2 linked regions of the Pelodiscus sinensis genome follow. The protein of the gene in region 1 interacts with the protein of each later gene in a pairwise test. Links are inferred from orthologs where the notes say so. Each region holds a gene or a part of one and is shown on either strand. Other genes may lie near its edges. The genes, in order: FHL5 and CREM.

Region 1 (8,430 bases):
GAGAGGTCATCTTTCTTTATTGATCTCATGAATTGGAAATTTTTCAGAGTATCCTCCCCCTTCTCTCCCAAGCTATACAAAGGCAAAATATAAAGTGGTCAAGCACACCCGCATAACATAGTCAAAATATCTGATTGGTTAGAGTAAAGCTTTTAACCAGAGAGGTAATAGTGATTAAGGATGGATTTCTTTTTTCAACAAACTCCAGTGAATTCTGCGCACACTATTATTTTTCATTTCATTTTCTAATGATTTGCAATAAAACTGTTAAGGTATGCACGTGATCTGTATTGGGTTTATAGGGATTTTTTTGAGGAGGAGAAATGGGGAATGACTTCTGTAGTTAATGTACAAGTTAGATTGTTTAGGAAACATTTGCTACCACACAGTTTCAGATGTGACTCCTAGAGAAGTTTCTTAAGGGGTGTATCCATATCCGTATCCACTGATATGGATACAAGGGGTATATCAATATCCATTACAAATACTGTTTTTATTCGAGGGAGTTTGGTCCAGAACTTTGTTCACTTTACCATATGTTTTTTTAAAAATATTCTGAAAATAGTAACCATTTTGAGTATCTGCTATAGTGTTTTTTTCTGATGTTAACCTATTCCAAGTGGTATTTGATATTATTTAGCTATATTTTTGTCATGCCCATTGTAATTTGTATCCTCATTTGTACATGGGGTATATTGTGTGTCTTAGAAAAAATATATGTAAAGAATACCAACTAAAATCTTGCCAATATTAGTTAAGTATATAATTTGTGTATGTCAGTTGTATATTTTTGAATTTGTTTTGAAGTTAGTGCAGTTTTAATTTAGCAAATCAGTTTCAACTTATCACTGGAATATGCAGTGATTATACTTGTTACCTAGCTGCTTGCATAAAATCAGGTCTTAATAGTAAGGCAATAGACATTGATATCCAGTGAAAATAATAGTACAGTAGTTCTAAGTATTCTTTCATTCTTGCCCAAACTCTATTAGCACTGAACAAAACCTTCTGTAAGAATGCTGTTAAGTTGCAGTGGTTGTTAAATTCCTGCAAGATGTGTGCAGAATTGTGCATTGGGTAGAAATCAACCAAAAATGTCCCCAAAACTTTGATTGCAACAAAAGAAAGGTGACTTGAGACTTTTGTGTTCCTGCATTTAGGCTTATTTTAGAATGCAGTTTAAAAAAACAGAATCGCTTATAAAAAATTACTAGATTACTGTACTAAAGTCAATAATATCTCTACAAAATAGCATTGGTTCTGTCCAAACTGTAATACAAAGGAGCAACTCCATCTCTGCCCTTTGGATTTAGAGGCAGAGACAGTTTTGTCCATCATCCTAGTTGGAAGCCTCCATATAAGCCTGTCACCTGGAAATAGCAAAAAAGAAAATATTCTGACTGCTTTCACTTTGTTTACAAAAATGGTTTGCATAAAATAAGTATATTTATTCTCTTGTTATTGAATGAAAATAGTTATAATTTTCCTATATTAAATGTACACACTTTTATATGGCATTGATTTTGTAAATAATACTCTACAATTTGATATTCTTTATGTAAATATAATTATTTTAATAAAATTAATGATTTAAGTGGTTAAAATAGTTTCTGCTGTTGACTTAACCATAGATATGTCGATTGGACTTGCACTTGTTGCTTGCAAACTACAGTTGTTAATGTGCTCCATTTAATTTGTTATACTTGCCAATTTTGTGTCCTCTTTTTTGCTTAAAACTGTTGTAATACATAATAATGAATTAATACAAGTCTTCTATGTAATGCAACAGATTTTTGTTACAAATATAGGCCACATGATGAGAATAATAAAAAGAACATTCTTTAAAATGGATAGGAAAGAAGTACTAATGTTTCGGTAGTGGTCTCTTCATAGAATTTTCAGTGGTTAATTATGAGAAACCTTCATTGGTGTTTCCATGCCAGAAAAAATAAGTATTGAATATCTGTCTATCAAGTGTAGAGGTTAACATTCCTAGATAAAGGTGTCTTTAATTACAAGAGAGAGGAATAAATAAAATATTTTCCCCCAAACACTGTGCTAATGATTTTTTTCCTGTATATGATTCACGTAGCGACTGGAAAAAAAAGGAAAGGATTCATTACTATTCTTAGGATTCTTATTTTAATTATCAGCTGTTTAGTTGACAAAGCTGCCTATTTCTTTTTCAGATAAATTTACAGTGTAGCTTAATTTAAATTACATTTTTAAAAAGAGCAATATCATGGACAAATTGCCCCCTTGTTCCACTCACTAAAAATACATGCTTCATAAAATTTCTTGTATGAAGTCTCTTCCAAAGACACTTGAAAAACGGGGGAGAGGAGTAATTAATCTGAGAAACTCTTGAGATTAAACTTCAAGAAGTGATGACATTTAAAAACTGTTGTAATTGTACTCAAAATTAAATGACTTGCATGAGAGCAGTCAAAGATTGCTGATGTAATCTAACAGAGCTTGTCCTGAGTTTCTGATATTTAGAACTTCTGCTAAAGCTTTCTGTATACCTTTCGATTAATGATTTAAATGGCTTCATGTTTTTTACCTTAAGACTTTTGTAGCCTTTTTGAGAGACATTTACTACTGTGATGGAGAGCATGGTTATAATTGGAACATAAAAGTAATGATCATCTGAAGCTTCTGGATTATTGAAATGCTTTATTGTGGGATCAGAATGCTTTCTGATATTTTAAATAGCTACTCATTTTTTAAAGTATAAGAATACATTAAAATAGGTTGAAGATCAATGTAGTAGTGAAATGGATTTTAAATTATTTTTCTGAATTGTCAGAGATAGAAACCTTGCTTAGAAAGATACATTTGAGTGAATCTTAAACAAAAATAAAGGGGAAAGAGCTCTTTGAGAGGCTCATGTTAATGGCAAATACCATGCTAATATCAGTGAGGGTAGAAGTGGAAGTTTAGGTCAAATCAGGGTGGTTTTGTTACCAGGTTGGTCAAATAGTTTATTAAGAAGGGCTATGTGTTATAGCACCTCGTTTGGGTTTAGAGAAAAGGGCACTTAGTTTTCACATTATCCACTAATTAATTTCACTTCATGCTCCTTATTTGTGAAGGTTTTCACTTTGCTTTAAATGCTTAAAAAGACAACTCTCTAGTAAGTTATACAGGTATAGTCTCCATTCTGCAAGTTTCTTCTGAGAAGAAAAAAAACATGAATTGAAGTTTGGAAAATGCGATGTTCAATGGAAAATGAACATATATTTCATACTCTTTCCTGAAAAGAACATACTATTTGTGTAATTTGGTGTGCTTATCACGAAGAAGGCTAGTTCATGTGGTATGGGCTTTAACCAGGCCACTACTTTGAGTCAAGTTACATCCAAGCATCCTGTCAGTAGACAGCCTTGTACAGTCACTCACGGCCCAGGGTCCTATTGAAGATCTACCACCTAGAAACTTTATTTCCTGGTATTTGCAAATTTTACCAAAATCTTTCAATGTAAGATTTATCGAAAGAGAGAAACAGAATTCTATTTCTTGGCAATGACATAATAATAAACAGCTCTTCTGTACACTTGACATGCAAGGCTTGATTAAGCCCAGAGATAAATTGGTTCATCATAGTGTAATCTAGGGAATATAATGGTGGAAAGCATGGTCTAGGGTCTGCAATGTCTCAAGCCACAACCAACAATCCTGTTTTAAGCTGCTTAATTTCAGCTGCTTAATTTTAACTGGATATAAAAAATTCACTGAAGGCTGGTACAACAGTGCAGTGAATGAACTGTTCTGTAGTGGGAGTGGTGGATAGTGTAACCTTAGCCCAAACACTGGTGTGGTTACCTCTGCTCCAAGTCTAATGCGGCCAGCCCTGAGATGAGCATTAAGAGAGGTCCAGAGAAAAGCCATTCACTTTCCACTGATATGAATCTAATCACCAGAAAACTGCATTGAAGGCATCAACCATCCCACTGTATAAATAACTAGCAGGAAGCTGTGATGTAATATTAAATCCCATAGCCCTTTCCTAAATTGGAAGGGTGTGGTATTTTAATGTCTCCCTTCCACCCCTACCCACAAAACCTATGCAGAATACAGGCAGTCCCCGGGTTACGTACAAGATAGGGACTGTAGGTTTGTTCTTAAGTAGAATCTGTATGTAAGTCGGAACTGGCGTCCAGATTCAGACACTGCTGAAACTGACCGCCAGTTCTGACTTGCATACAGAATCAACTTAAGAACCCCAGGCGTCCCCAAGTCAGCTGCTGCTGAAACTGATCAGCAGCTGATTCCAGGAAGCCCGGGGCAGAGCAACTCTGCCTGGGGCTTCCTGTAGTCAGCGCTGGTCAGTTTCAGCAGAAGCTGACTTGGGGACGCCTGGGGCAGATCAGCTGGGGTGCTGCCGGGTTGGTCCAGTAGTGCCCAGAGCGGGCGCTGCAGGACCAATTGGCAGCGCCCCAGCTGCTCTGCCCCAGAGTCCAAAACAAAAGCCTGGTCTGCTGGGAGGGGGGGGAAGCACACTAGCTGCGCCCCTCCCCCCCCCCCAGCAGACCAGGGACACAGGGAGCAGAGCCGCAGCGGCAGCGGCTCTCGCAAAGCCTCAGAGGCGAGGGACCCCGCCGCGGCTACGACTTCAGTCCCGGTGCCTGTGGTCTGCTGGGGACGGTCCCCAGCAGACCACAGGCTCCCGGACTGAAGCCGCAGCCGCGGGGGGGTCCCGCGCTTCTGAGGCTTTGCCAGAGTAAAGCCTCAGAGGCGCGGGGAACCGCCGCTGCTGCCGCTTCAGTCTGGGTGCCTGTGGTCTGCTGGGGATGGTCCCCAGCAGACCACAGGCACCCAGACTGAAGCGGCAGCAGCGGCGGTTCCCCGCGCCTCTGAGGCTTTGCTCTGGCAAAGCCTCAGAAGCGCGGGAACCCGCCCGGTGCCCCTGGTCTGCTGGAGACGGTCTCCAGCAGACCAGGGGCACCGGAGCAGCTTACGAACGGGGCTTTCTCGCCCCGACCTCCGGGGCGAGAAAGCCCTGTTTGTAAGTGCGGATCCGACGTAAGTCAGATCCGCGTAAGTCGGGGACTGCCTGTACCCCAAAAACTGTAAGCAGGAGTTTTAATGTTAATTTTGAGTTTTATCGAGTATCTTGAATGTTTTCAAAGAATCTGTGCACAAAAAAGCTGGAGATTAATATGTTCATTCCCTTCCCCGCCTTCCACTATAGATTTTTTTACTAAAGCGCCTCTTTCTAGGTCTTTGAAACATTGTCCTTGAAAAATGCTCTTTTAAGGATCTCCTCTGTGGTCTGTTTTTGTCTACCATCTGTAAACACAATATGACAAAGAATGATTTCAATCCAGTGACAAGGGAACCAGCTATTTGCATGTCATGAGGTCTAAGGGAAATAAACTGTCCCTCAGCCGTCTTCTACACAGCCAAAATTTGATAGGACCCTCAAATAGCTCTGGCAGAGTATTCTGTTTCTTTTGGACTTGATGAATGCTTATTTCTGTGAAAGCTAATCTAATTATTTTCCCCCTTTATTTTGCTACACAAGTCAGAAGAAGAAGCAGCTTGAACCAGTTGTGAGTATTATAGAAACTGCTTTTCCTTATTATTTCTCTTTCCGCTCTTTTAGTTGATACGTTTTAAAATATTTAGGTCAGTTGACCTGGTAATCAATTGAAAGTTTGTGAATTAAGCAAGAACTTTTTCTTTTCGGTCACTGATTAATTCTGATTTTTGTTTGTTTGTTTCTAGTAGTGTTTTAATAGAATTAGTTTATATAATTGATGGAATTTGTGACATAGACTAAAAAGAACATTGTCATTAAGACTGGCTGAGGCCATATACTTTGGTGAATCTTCTTTGGATTGCCTACAGAATTCTGTGAACATATTCAAACAAGATTGTTGCTGATTTCAATGAACTGTTTTCAATGTATTAATTTTTAAAAATTAGATAAGTAGGAATCAACCAATATGCTGTAAATTCTGTTTTCTTCTACTAGCCTACTTTCTTCCTACCTGCCACTGAGAACAAAAGCTTTCAACGAGGCATTTATGATGAGATACCTAAAGTTATTTTTGCTGCAAACAGTGGATTGTTCTTGTTGCTTATTTAATGTAAAATTAACTTGTTGGATTTCTAAGTTTACACATGATATAAATCTCAATCAACATTATTTCATTTTTTCTCCTCCACTATTATGTCGGAGTCTCAGCTTTTAAAAGATCTCTGCTACAGATTTTGTATTTACTGTACTAAGTACTATATTAAGAGGATGTGCCAGTGCTTAGTTAAAAAAAAAAGCACTACTTAAATGTCTATTTACACGGTTTGCATTAAAAAGCTTTATGGACAATGACATTGAAATTTTCTGTAACAGAATGTCAACAACATAGATTAATTGTTGTACTATCTGGTTTTATGTATGAAGTACATTCAGTCAATTTTTCTTTTACTAATGAGTCCCAAAAATCAAACTTTGATAAACACAATTTAAATTGTAATCACATCCCTGTTCTGAAATACACTATTTTGTATCTTTTTTCTTATTTTCAGCAGATTAGTTACATGCCTAAAGCTTGACATAGAACCTCTTATAGTAAGAAAATAACTTTGTGATGCTTGTCTTGTTCACATCTAACATTTATGCCCACATTTGTCTTCAGTATGTATGATTAGTTGACATTTCTTGAAGTATTTTAACAGAACAGAATGGAACAGATTTATGTATTAATGTTATCACATTGCTGACAGTCTTGCCATGTAATTTTATTGCACTGTCACAAAAGGCACTTTGATTTTAGATTGCATAATTTGCAGAAATTTAAGATGCTATACCAATCTTCTTGTAATAGTAAAAAAATAATAATGAAAAAACGAGTTGTTTGAAAAAGACTCTGATCAGTTTTGACCTATGGTGTCTCAAGGTTATTTGCAGGGAGAAAAGTTTAAGGATTTTATTTATTGGTTAATTGGTAGACATTGTAAGGTTCATAGTTAGTTGTCCTTTTAATCACAGTTGTTCTTTTGCTAATAAAGCCAGTGTTTTCAATTTTTTGTATTTTACTTTTATGGTTGAATTTTACTTCTCATAAAAGTTGAAGTCTAATAGCATTGACTAATTGAATATAAAGAGGGGGAAAGTGCAAACTCTCCAGAAGAATTCTTCTAATAATGGAAAGCTGAAGTCCAGGGGTAAAATACTAGATCTGTTCAAATCAATGCAAAACTTTCCTTGACTTCAATATGGCCAGATTTCACCTGGTTAGGAGCCAAGAACCTTAGGAACAGTATCCTCCTTAATTTGTGTAGAAATTTCCCGACTGGTTTGATGAGAGATCAGGTTGTGTAGTGCTCCCACTGAATCAAAGCCCTTCCAGTCTAGCGATCTGTGAAGCTCCAAATGCTGTGTTCATAGACAGTGGAATGATGCATTGCAACATACTTTCTACTTGTCTTTCTCTAGTAGATTTTTTTGGGGGGGAGGGGAAGGGGAGAGAGGTGGGTAGGAGTAGGGACTGGAAAGCATCCAAAAATGTTTAGATGGCTTTTGCAAATCTCAGCCCACATATTTAAACTTTACCTTCTTGTAAACTCGTATAGAATTGGAGAGGGGTAACATTAATTAAAGCGTACCAGAAATTTAATAAGGCAGCATATAAGTTATTCCACAAATATAGAGAATTTAATGGATACTTATATAAACTATCCATTAGAATTCTATAGCAGGGATATAATCTTCTATGAAATAGTACAGCGTGGTCCAAAAAAGTAGTGGGTCAATTCTCCTTATTGTTTCCAGATTCCTTTTCTTTGAGCTAAAGCTTTTCTTTGACTATGGTTAATATTATTCCTTCAAAAGCTTCCTTCCATTTGCATCTTGCTCTCTCACCTTCACAAACCTCTGCCCTTGAGGTTGTGCTGATTTTTAGTTTTCCCTTGTTGGATTCTTCATCATTTCAGTGTTCCTTCTTAGTTACCATCCCAGCTAAAATTCTAGAACTGGTAATTTTAATAGGGCTTCTGAAATACATAAGTGCTGTCCAAGGGGTTATAACCCTTTACACAACTTACTAGTTACTACTGAAATGGTATTTGTAACTTTTTATTTACTCTCACAACGTGAGGGTACTTCACCATCACCGATGGTTGCATTTTTACTGTTTTAATTTGTTTTGGGTAAATCTGATTTGTTTTACATTCATCAAAGTATTAATAAGATCTCTTCGTTCCATCAGGTATGGGACCTTGCTTCTGAGGAAGCTCCCTTGGCTCAGTGCTAGCCTTCAATCTTGTTCCCTCTTCCATGACTACTTCTGTAGTGGCACAATGTGCCTTTCTTCCCCCACCCCCAATACCTATGACCTTTTTTTCTGTCAGAGAATGAAACTAAGACAAAGGACATGGCAAAGGTAGGGCCATGGCTTTGGATTTTGGAGACAGGTTCAATGC
Region 2 (8,550 bases), on another chromosome or scaffold:
AGGATTTCAGATTTCCTAACGTTGTGAAATTTAAATACTGCAAATTTAACAGTAAAGACACAGATAAGCACATTTACAAATGAAGAGTATACCTGTTATCCATACACTGTGCACAATCTCATTTCTGAATGGATACACAATAAACAGAGTCACAGTAAGTTATTATAACATCATTAATCAGACAGAGCAAATACGCTTATGGCAGTGGTGGGCATACTGCAGGCCACTTCTGTCTGGTCTGCAGCTGCCCTGGCTGCCGCACTCCCCCAGCCACTGCTTGTTCACTGGGACACTAGAGCCCTGTATTTCCTATGCCTCTCTCTCCTTCCCAGCACTTTTGGAGCTCGAACAACTGCAAACACCTGATTTGTTGCATTCCACCTGTTCTGGGAGGAAAAGAGAGGAGGGGGGATGGAGCATGAATGAGATGATTCACATGCTCCAAAAGTGCTGTGGGGGTGCCCAGTACGTGAGAAGTGTGTGGGGAGGGGCACAGAGAAGGAGCAGCAAGTGGAACCCCACTGGGCTGGGAGTTGTTGTGGCCCTCTTAGGTGAATGAGGGACACTCATGAGGTCTATATACTTCCTGCCAGCCCCATGATTTTTTCCTCACGACCTCCAGGGGGGAAAAAACACATAAATTTATCTTACTATAAATGACAATATATTTTTCAATCATAATTGAGAGAGGTGCAGCCATGTAATTATATGTTCATTTTAAGATAAAAATCCCATCTAATTAGTATCAGTGTATTTCTACATAAGTGTTGAAAAATAGTAACCAACCCTGTTGAAAAAAATTAACCCTATTAATATTTAATGTCAAAGTAACTCGCATGATGTGTAGCTAATTTGTAATTAAATTAGCTTAAAATAAAATAAAGCTTTGTGCAATGTTTCAGTTTAGGATTAAATCCATACATAAGGCTTATAAAATTACAATGATTTGAAAGCTCAAGTCTTCCTACAAACAAACGAACAAACTATTCCTGATTTTTCAACATAACACGATCTCTGTCATTAAAAAGAGCTACGATCATTGCTGTATATACGAAGCTGAAACTTAAATTTAATTATTCATGGATCATATAAGGCTTCCTTACAAATCTCTTTGGATGAAATATGGGGTGTAAGATGTTTTATTTTTATTACCATAGCACCTAGGAGCCCTAGCCATGGACTAGAAAAAGAGGTGCTTGAACTATTCCATTTTAATGGTGTTGCCAAAGTTGTTGTTGACTGGGAGTCCCAGTAAGTCTGAAGCCCAAGCCACATTCCACGGGGGTGAATCCTTACTACCTTGGGTTAAGATTACATGATCCCCACTCAGGGCAAATACCCTTGGACTTCAGCTTTGGCCCTGCTGCCCCACTGTAGCTGGGGTTCAGGCGGACTGTGTCTTCAGTTCCCCCTCCCTAGGTCATGTCATCTTTGTTGTCAGAAGGAGGTTGTGGTGCTGTGAGGTCTGAAAATCCACTGCACTAGAACCCCCGTGTTCTTTGTGCTACACAAGTGCAGAAAATGATGGCTCCTGCCCCAAAGAGCTTATCATGTATGTATATCCTTGTTTTGAAATTTAGGAGCAATGGATCTGTCAATACATTTCCATTGACATCAGTGTTTTGCCTCTAATCAAAACCGCTTAAGTTATAGGAAGAAAATGTCATCCATTTCAGTAGTCTCTAGTCTGAATTAATAACAGTTTGTTTCATGGTGCTTGCTATTGTGAACATTAACAGTTTTTTGGAAAAACCTATAGCTATTTTCAGATATGCCAACCAAAATAGGTCATTTGTCTTGTACTTTATATTATGCGGCTTTATACTGCACCTTTTTTTTAGTCAGGCTTCTTGTATAAGTTTATGCCAAGGGAACTAGCACACCTAAAATGACTACTTACCTTTTTTAAGCATTTGCTTTTTATAGGCCCAATATTTAGGTTTCATTTGACTGTCTCCAGACTTGGAAAAGGCAATTTCTATTCTCAGTTTAGCATTTTTGTTTCAATAAGTGCATGTTTTCATATGCTGTTGACATTTCAATTCATTTTCACTTGAAAATAATAACAATAATGGTTTGGTCCCAAGTAATGTTAGGAGAAGAATGATATTAACAAAACTCAGGAATACCACTAAAAGGACAATATAAAAAATTCAGTATGTTCATCTGTATCTCTGGAGTATGCCTTTGAATAGCTTCCCACACTTGGAAGTGGTGTTCTGCATTTAAGATTTACATTGTAATTTCCCATGAGTTTTACCTAAAATTTAGAGCATAATAAAAATACACTGTTCTTTGTCATATTTTGTAAAGCTGCAGATATCCTGGAAATAATTTCTTAATCATTTAGTTGTCCTCGCTCTTTACATAAGTTCAGTGCATACTTTTGAATGGAAATTGGTTATTACGAGTTTAACTTTCCATGCTATATGAAAGATTTGAAAGACCAGGGAGGATGATAGGGACATAAAAAAAAATTACAGCTTTTTTGTAGAAGGAGGTTCTTTCTAAGAAATAAAAGGTATTAACAAGACTACAAAAGAAGATAGGCATTTTCCTGTAACACTTCATTGCTTTTGTTTCAGTGATCCTTAAAACAACACACAGTGACATGTAGCAGCTAATGGAGTCTGTCTTTTCACCAAAGAGAAAAGTACTACATTTCTAACAGATGTATGTGTCCAGATTTAAAATAAATCATTCCCAAAGCAATAAAGTAGTAAAATTGGAAACGTCAGTTTCCACAGCATAATAGATCATCCCTGCCAAGAGAAGTCAATGGAACCTTTTTAGTAGGATGGGATAAATTTAGTAATTTTGAACTAAATCTTCTCTTAGAATGACAGACAATATTGGATATAAAATATGAAGTATGATTTTGGACCCACATAAGGAAAAATAATCTGGATCCTATTTTTTAATTCCAGAAGAAAGTTTTAGTGACTATGTTGGTAATGCATACTGATTACATTATTGAGCTTGTTATTTAAGCTGTCTTGATATATGGGGATGTCCTTTTGGATGTACATATTAAATAGCTAGTGTCTTCATAACTGAGTCTCAAGGGTAGTGGTGGGCAACCTGCGGCCTGCCGGGGCTCCACCTGCAACTCACTAACCCCTTTGCTGACCCACCTCCCTCATGTGCCTCTTGCACACTGGGGCACCAAAGTCTTGCAATTCCTACATCTTTCCTCTCCCTTTAAGCGCTTTCAGAGGAGCTGCAAAGTGCCAGATTCGTGCTCTCCCCCCCTCCCCCCCAGAGCTGGAATGCTGCAAATCAATTGGTCATGGCATTCCAGCTCTGGGTGAGAGGGTGAGGCCTGGGGACTGAGGATGAACCAGGCAATTTGCATGCTCTGAAATGCTGGGAGGGGAAATAGCAAGTAAGAGTAGGGCTCTAGTGCCCTAATATGCAAGAGACGCATGGGGAAGAGAGCAGACAGAGAAGCCGTGGGGCATAGGTAGTCTGAGGGCTGCTACGGCCCATTGAGGTGAAGGAGGGCAACTCATGCAGCCTCCCCACTATTCGTGGTTGCCTATCCCCGCTCTAGGGTCATAGTGACATTTTTGGGATAAAGGCAGCCATCTAGCAAGAAATAGTCTATTACTATATCAAGTATGTTCATAAAAAGTACAGTGATTCAGCAACATATGCTTCTCACTTACATGTGCTGCAAGGAGGAGTGGCTGGATACAGTAGGAGATCTTCAGAATAGCCTCTGAGTAAATCCAGAATTGCCCCCATTTAAAGTTATGCACTCTCCTCTGATTAAGATCCTGGTACATATTGAGCACCAGTGCTAATAGCCTGAGATTTTGACAGCACAATTATTTTATCATTGTATCTGGGGAAAGGAACTCATGAGAAGAAACAGGAATGCAAGAGGGGTGTATATTAAATATTGTATATTATGGATTGAATTTAAAACTGCTGTTAATATACTAAATAATTCTTTTCTAATAAGCTACATGAGAGAGACTACTTTAGTACATTCTTCATGGTGTGTATATTGACACCATTTGGGAACAAGCTAACTTAAGAGGAGCTTTACTTTAAAAGTGTATGAATGCTAGCACTCTGATCAATTTGACTAAGGCTGTGAGTCACTCAAGACCTAGTTACTAAGAGACATACAGGCAGTCCCCAGGTTACGTACAAGATAGGGACTGTAGGTTTGTTCTTAAGTTGAATCTGTATGTAAGTCGGAACTGGTGTCCAGATTCAGCTGCTGCTGAAACTGATCACTTTCAGCAGCGGCTGAATCTGGACGCCAGTTCTGACTTACATACAGATTCAACTTAAGAACCCCAGGCGTCCCCAAGTCAGCTGCTGCTGAAACTGATCAGCGGCTGATTCCAGGAAGCCGGAGGCAGAGCAACTCTGCCTCGGGTTTCCTGTAGTCAGCTGCTGGTCAGTTTCAGCAGCAGCTGACTTGGGGACGCCTGGGGCAGAGCAGCTGCGCCCCCCCCCCCCAGCAGACCAGGGAGACGCGGACCAAAGCTGCGGAAGACGCCTGCAGCGGGACAGCCCAGGCGCACCGCGGCTGTCCCGCTACGGGCGGCCTCCGAGGCTTTGCTCCCCGTCTCCCTGGTCTGACCAGCAGACCAGGGAGACGGGGAGCAGCTTTTCTCGCCCCGGAGGACGCGGGCGGCGGGACCGCGGCTCATCTGGGCGTCCCGCCACTCCCGTCCTCTGGGGCAAAAAAACCCCGTTTGTAACTGCGGATCCGACATAAGTCGGATCCGTGTAACTCAGGGACTGCCTGTACTACAACTTGAGATCAGCAGAAGAGTTTGAGAGGAAAGGAAGCTGGGCTTTTTTGTATATCCATTCAAGATGGTATCCTTAGAGATGTGAAAATTATCTGTAATTGTGCTTCTCTGATTATATCCTTTCATTTGATTCCTTCTCAGTGGAAGACAAACATTTTGACAACTTATTTTGGACATAAATGTGTAGTGTTTAAGGAGCTATTTGCTTCTCACTTGAAACAATGTCTCAGAGAGCACTGAGATACCAGGAGTTGGCTTGTGTATTAAAAATAGATATGGATACTTCAGAAGCTTCAAAACCATTGAAATAGGGTGTTCCTGCCCAAGAATAGGAATCGGATCAGATTATATTTTCAGAAAATTTAGAACGAATCTCCTTTCTTTGGTGTTTTCCCTGTATTTTCTATAATATTTGGTATTAACATATGCCAAACAAGATTTCTCTGTTAGTGTCCCACTTATCTTAGATCCTGCAGTGAAGGCTGTATACAGTTTGTGACATTGGTTTGTTGCTATGGTGATGATTATGACATCACAACTTCAACATCATAACTTCACTGCAGTGTTAAGCAGGAGAGAAAGTAAGCTGAGGAAAACAAAGCTCTTGTTTTAAACACTTCCACTTTTCATTATGAGCAAGTATGTCAAGAAATATAATGGGAAAACAACTGTAAGGTAATTGTGCTTTTGTGTAGCTGATATATTTGAATATAATCTCCCCTAACATAATCTTTCAGTTTATATGTTTCAATTGATGGATGTAACTTACCCAAATTTAGGTTTAAGATTTAAAGGATATAAAATGGTTTTGAAATATCATAAGAGAGTTGCTGATACCAATTTAAAAATCTATTATTAAACATCTGTCATTTGGTTCAAAACAAAATCTATTCAGTCTTCCGAATATGAGAACTTCCTGTTTGGAGTTATTCTAACAAAAGAAACAAGAATATAACCAAAATTATTTTTTGTCTAAAGTAGGATATTTCTATTTAGAGGGACAGAACAGTAGGATTTATGTACATACTTCTATCAGCATTCTTCAGATGTATCAATATTTTAAATTTCATATTCTGGTATCTCTCTCCAGTGGGCAATTTATGCAGATAAGAATGAAGGAAAATTATATTTTCATTACAAAACAAAACAAAACAAGAACAATCTAGATGTAGTGATGCAGAACAAATATTAACTTGTTAGGTATAATCTTGTGGTTCTGATTTTGTCCATTTCAGGGTACATAGTATCATGACTGTCTAACTAAACAGAATAAATAAAAGATGAAAAATTCTAATAAATTCTTCCTAGATACCAAGTTATCACTTCCACTTGTACTATACTGAGTCAATGCACTACCACTCCTTTAAAGAATTCTCTGAATAGTTGCCAGATATTTCTCCCTTGGGGTTCCTCAGAATGGTTTCCTTGTTTTTCCCAGTTAAAACAAGGGGAAACTTAGGATGATAATTTAATGTTCCTTCCATGCCTCTACTCCCAATACGGAAGGGGTGAATAGGTTTTTTTTCTGGAATCAGCAGTGCTAGACACAACGTTGGCTACGTCTACACTGGCCCCTAAAAACGGAAAAGGGATGCAAAGCAGGTAAGTCAGCATAGGGAAATCCGCGGGGGATTTAAATATCCCCTGCGGATTTAAATCAACATGTCCGCCGCTTTTTTTCCGGCTTGGGGAAAAGCCGGAAAAAAAGCGTCTAGACTGGCGCGATCCTCTGGAATAAAGCCCTTTTCCGGAGGATCTCTTATTCCTACCTGAAAGTAGGAATAAGAGATCCTCCGGAAAAGGGCTTTATTCCAGAGGATCGTGCCAGTCTAGATGTTTTTTTTCTGGCTTTTCCCCAAGCCGGAAAAAAAGCGGCGGACATGTTTATTTAAATCCGCGGGGGATATTTAAATCCCCCGCGGATTTCCCTATGCTGACTTACCTGATTTGCATCCCTTTTCCGCAATTTGTGGCCAGTCTAGACGTAGCCATCAGGTTGCTAAAGAATGAGGTTTTGCTTTCCTTATTCAGTGCTGGGAGTATTACCTACACATGCTCCATCTAGTCCTGACTAACCAAAGGAGTAAGCTTGATACCTAATTTACTAGTCTTGCACAGCAACATTTTTTGATGTTAGGGTACTGTTGTGTTGTTCTTTTGTCAATTTCACCAATTTCATCTAGGAAAATGAGGTGAATTTGGGAGTTGAGGAGAAAAATAATTTAACAGAGTTGAAATTTAAATATTCCTACTTCAGGTCTGAATTCATTTCCTTGCAATATATTATTTATTTTTAGACAAATGACCATGGAAATGGTTGAATCGCAACAGGATGGAAGTGCAACAGATTCTGTGGCAGAGAGCGATGCTGTTTGCATACAAAATCAACCAGGCCAAAGTCAGATTCCCCCCATAGCTCAGGTAATTTGACTTACAAGAAGCTGAGAAAAACAAATAAAATGATCATTTAGAATTGTAATTTGCATTTAGATCAGGGGTGGGGAACCCTTTTTGGGTTGGGGGCCTCTACCCACAGAAAAATCAATTGAGGGCCCAGAGGCTGTGGGGAGGCAGCAGGGGGGCTGGAGTGCCAGCACAGGCTCCCCAGTGCTGGAGGAGGCCCTACGCCTTGGGGGCCAGATCTAGGTAACCCAGGGGCCAGATACATCCTCTGGGCCTTAGGTTCCCCACCCCTGATTTAGATGAACATGATACTTTTTCTGTAATTCAAAATTAAATCCCCCTGTCCTGTATCAGGAATTTATTATTAAAGCAGCAATTTCATATTTAAAACAATAAAGGTATAGTCCCAAATGATTACTACTATGTTATGGACATGACAGCATATGGGCCACAGATATTAAAGCACATTATTTTAAGTCATCCTCAGAAGTAACACTTCAAGAGTTTCTCAGGATGGTTCTGCAGTGTTAGCCAGTAGATGGTTCTTCCATGTTCTTCGAAGTACTGCTATATAATAATAGTCTGATAATGGTGTCCTGTTAAGTTGAGGCATCTACAAGATTAGAGGAATCTCATGTGTTCTAAAAACTGCAGATGCTTAATGCAGCAACTTATGAATAGATGAAGATATTTTGTTCCCCTCCTCCTCCAGTACTCTTGTTTACTCAAAATGAGTCCAATCTTGCAGGTAAAACTTCTTAGAGTTGTTACTTGTGTTTCTGCCTTATGGACTTGATGACACTTCCTGTATTTTTTAAAAGAAATTTTAGATATTCTCTAGAAAAGTATTTTTCTGGTTAATAGAATGGAGATGACAAAATGTAAAACTTAGTTTGCTATATTGTGTGATCTCCATAAAGCCTTAAGATTTTAAAGAATGTATTCATCTATACTAAAAAGAAAATGCTACTAATATTTCAATATATTATACTGGCCAATAATTATATCTAAATTCTTTGAATACTTTACTACCTATAATACTTCACTGCCCTTCAACTTCACAAGCCTTGGGAAAGAGGCTAATCCTTGCCTATAGTCAGTCTCCTCAATTTGAAGCAAATCTTTTCTGGGAGATACACATCACACCTCACATACACTCACCCAATTACCTACCCCTGCAATAAATCCCGTTGTCAACTCTGTCCACATATCTACACAAGCGAGACCAACACAGGATCAAACCACATAAGCCACATCATCAGAGGCTCATTCAACTGCACATCCTCTAATGTGATATATATCATCAAGTGCCAGCAATGTTCTTTTGTCATGTATATTGGTTAAACCAGAGAAAGGATAAATGGACACAAAT

The links.
Region 2: the proteins of FHL5 (region 1) and CREM interact in a two-hybrid assay, tested with the Homo sapiens proteins (2 studies listed by BioGRID). The link is inferred for Pelodiscus sinensis from reciprocal best matches to the Homo sapiens genes FHL5 and CREM.

The regions. Positions count from the first base shown.
Region 1 is NC_134713.1:68,352,777-68,361,206, forward strand, and holds the start of FHL5 (four and a half LIM domains protein 5), read left to right. Parts: upstream 1-4,986; 5' UTR 4,987-5,469; coding exon 5,470-5,555; intron 5,556-8,430. UniProt on the Homo sapiens protein: May be involved in the regulation of spermatogenesis. Stimulates CREM transcriptional activity in a phosphorylation-independent manner.
Region 2 is NC_134712.1:232,001,138-232,009,687, forward strand, and holds the start of CREM (cAMP-responsive element modulator), read left to right. Parts: upstream 1-5,186; 5' UTR 5,187-5,406; coding exon 5,407-5,450; intron 5,451-7,072; coding exon 7,073-7,196; intron 7,197-8,550.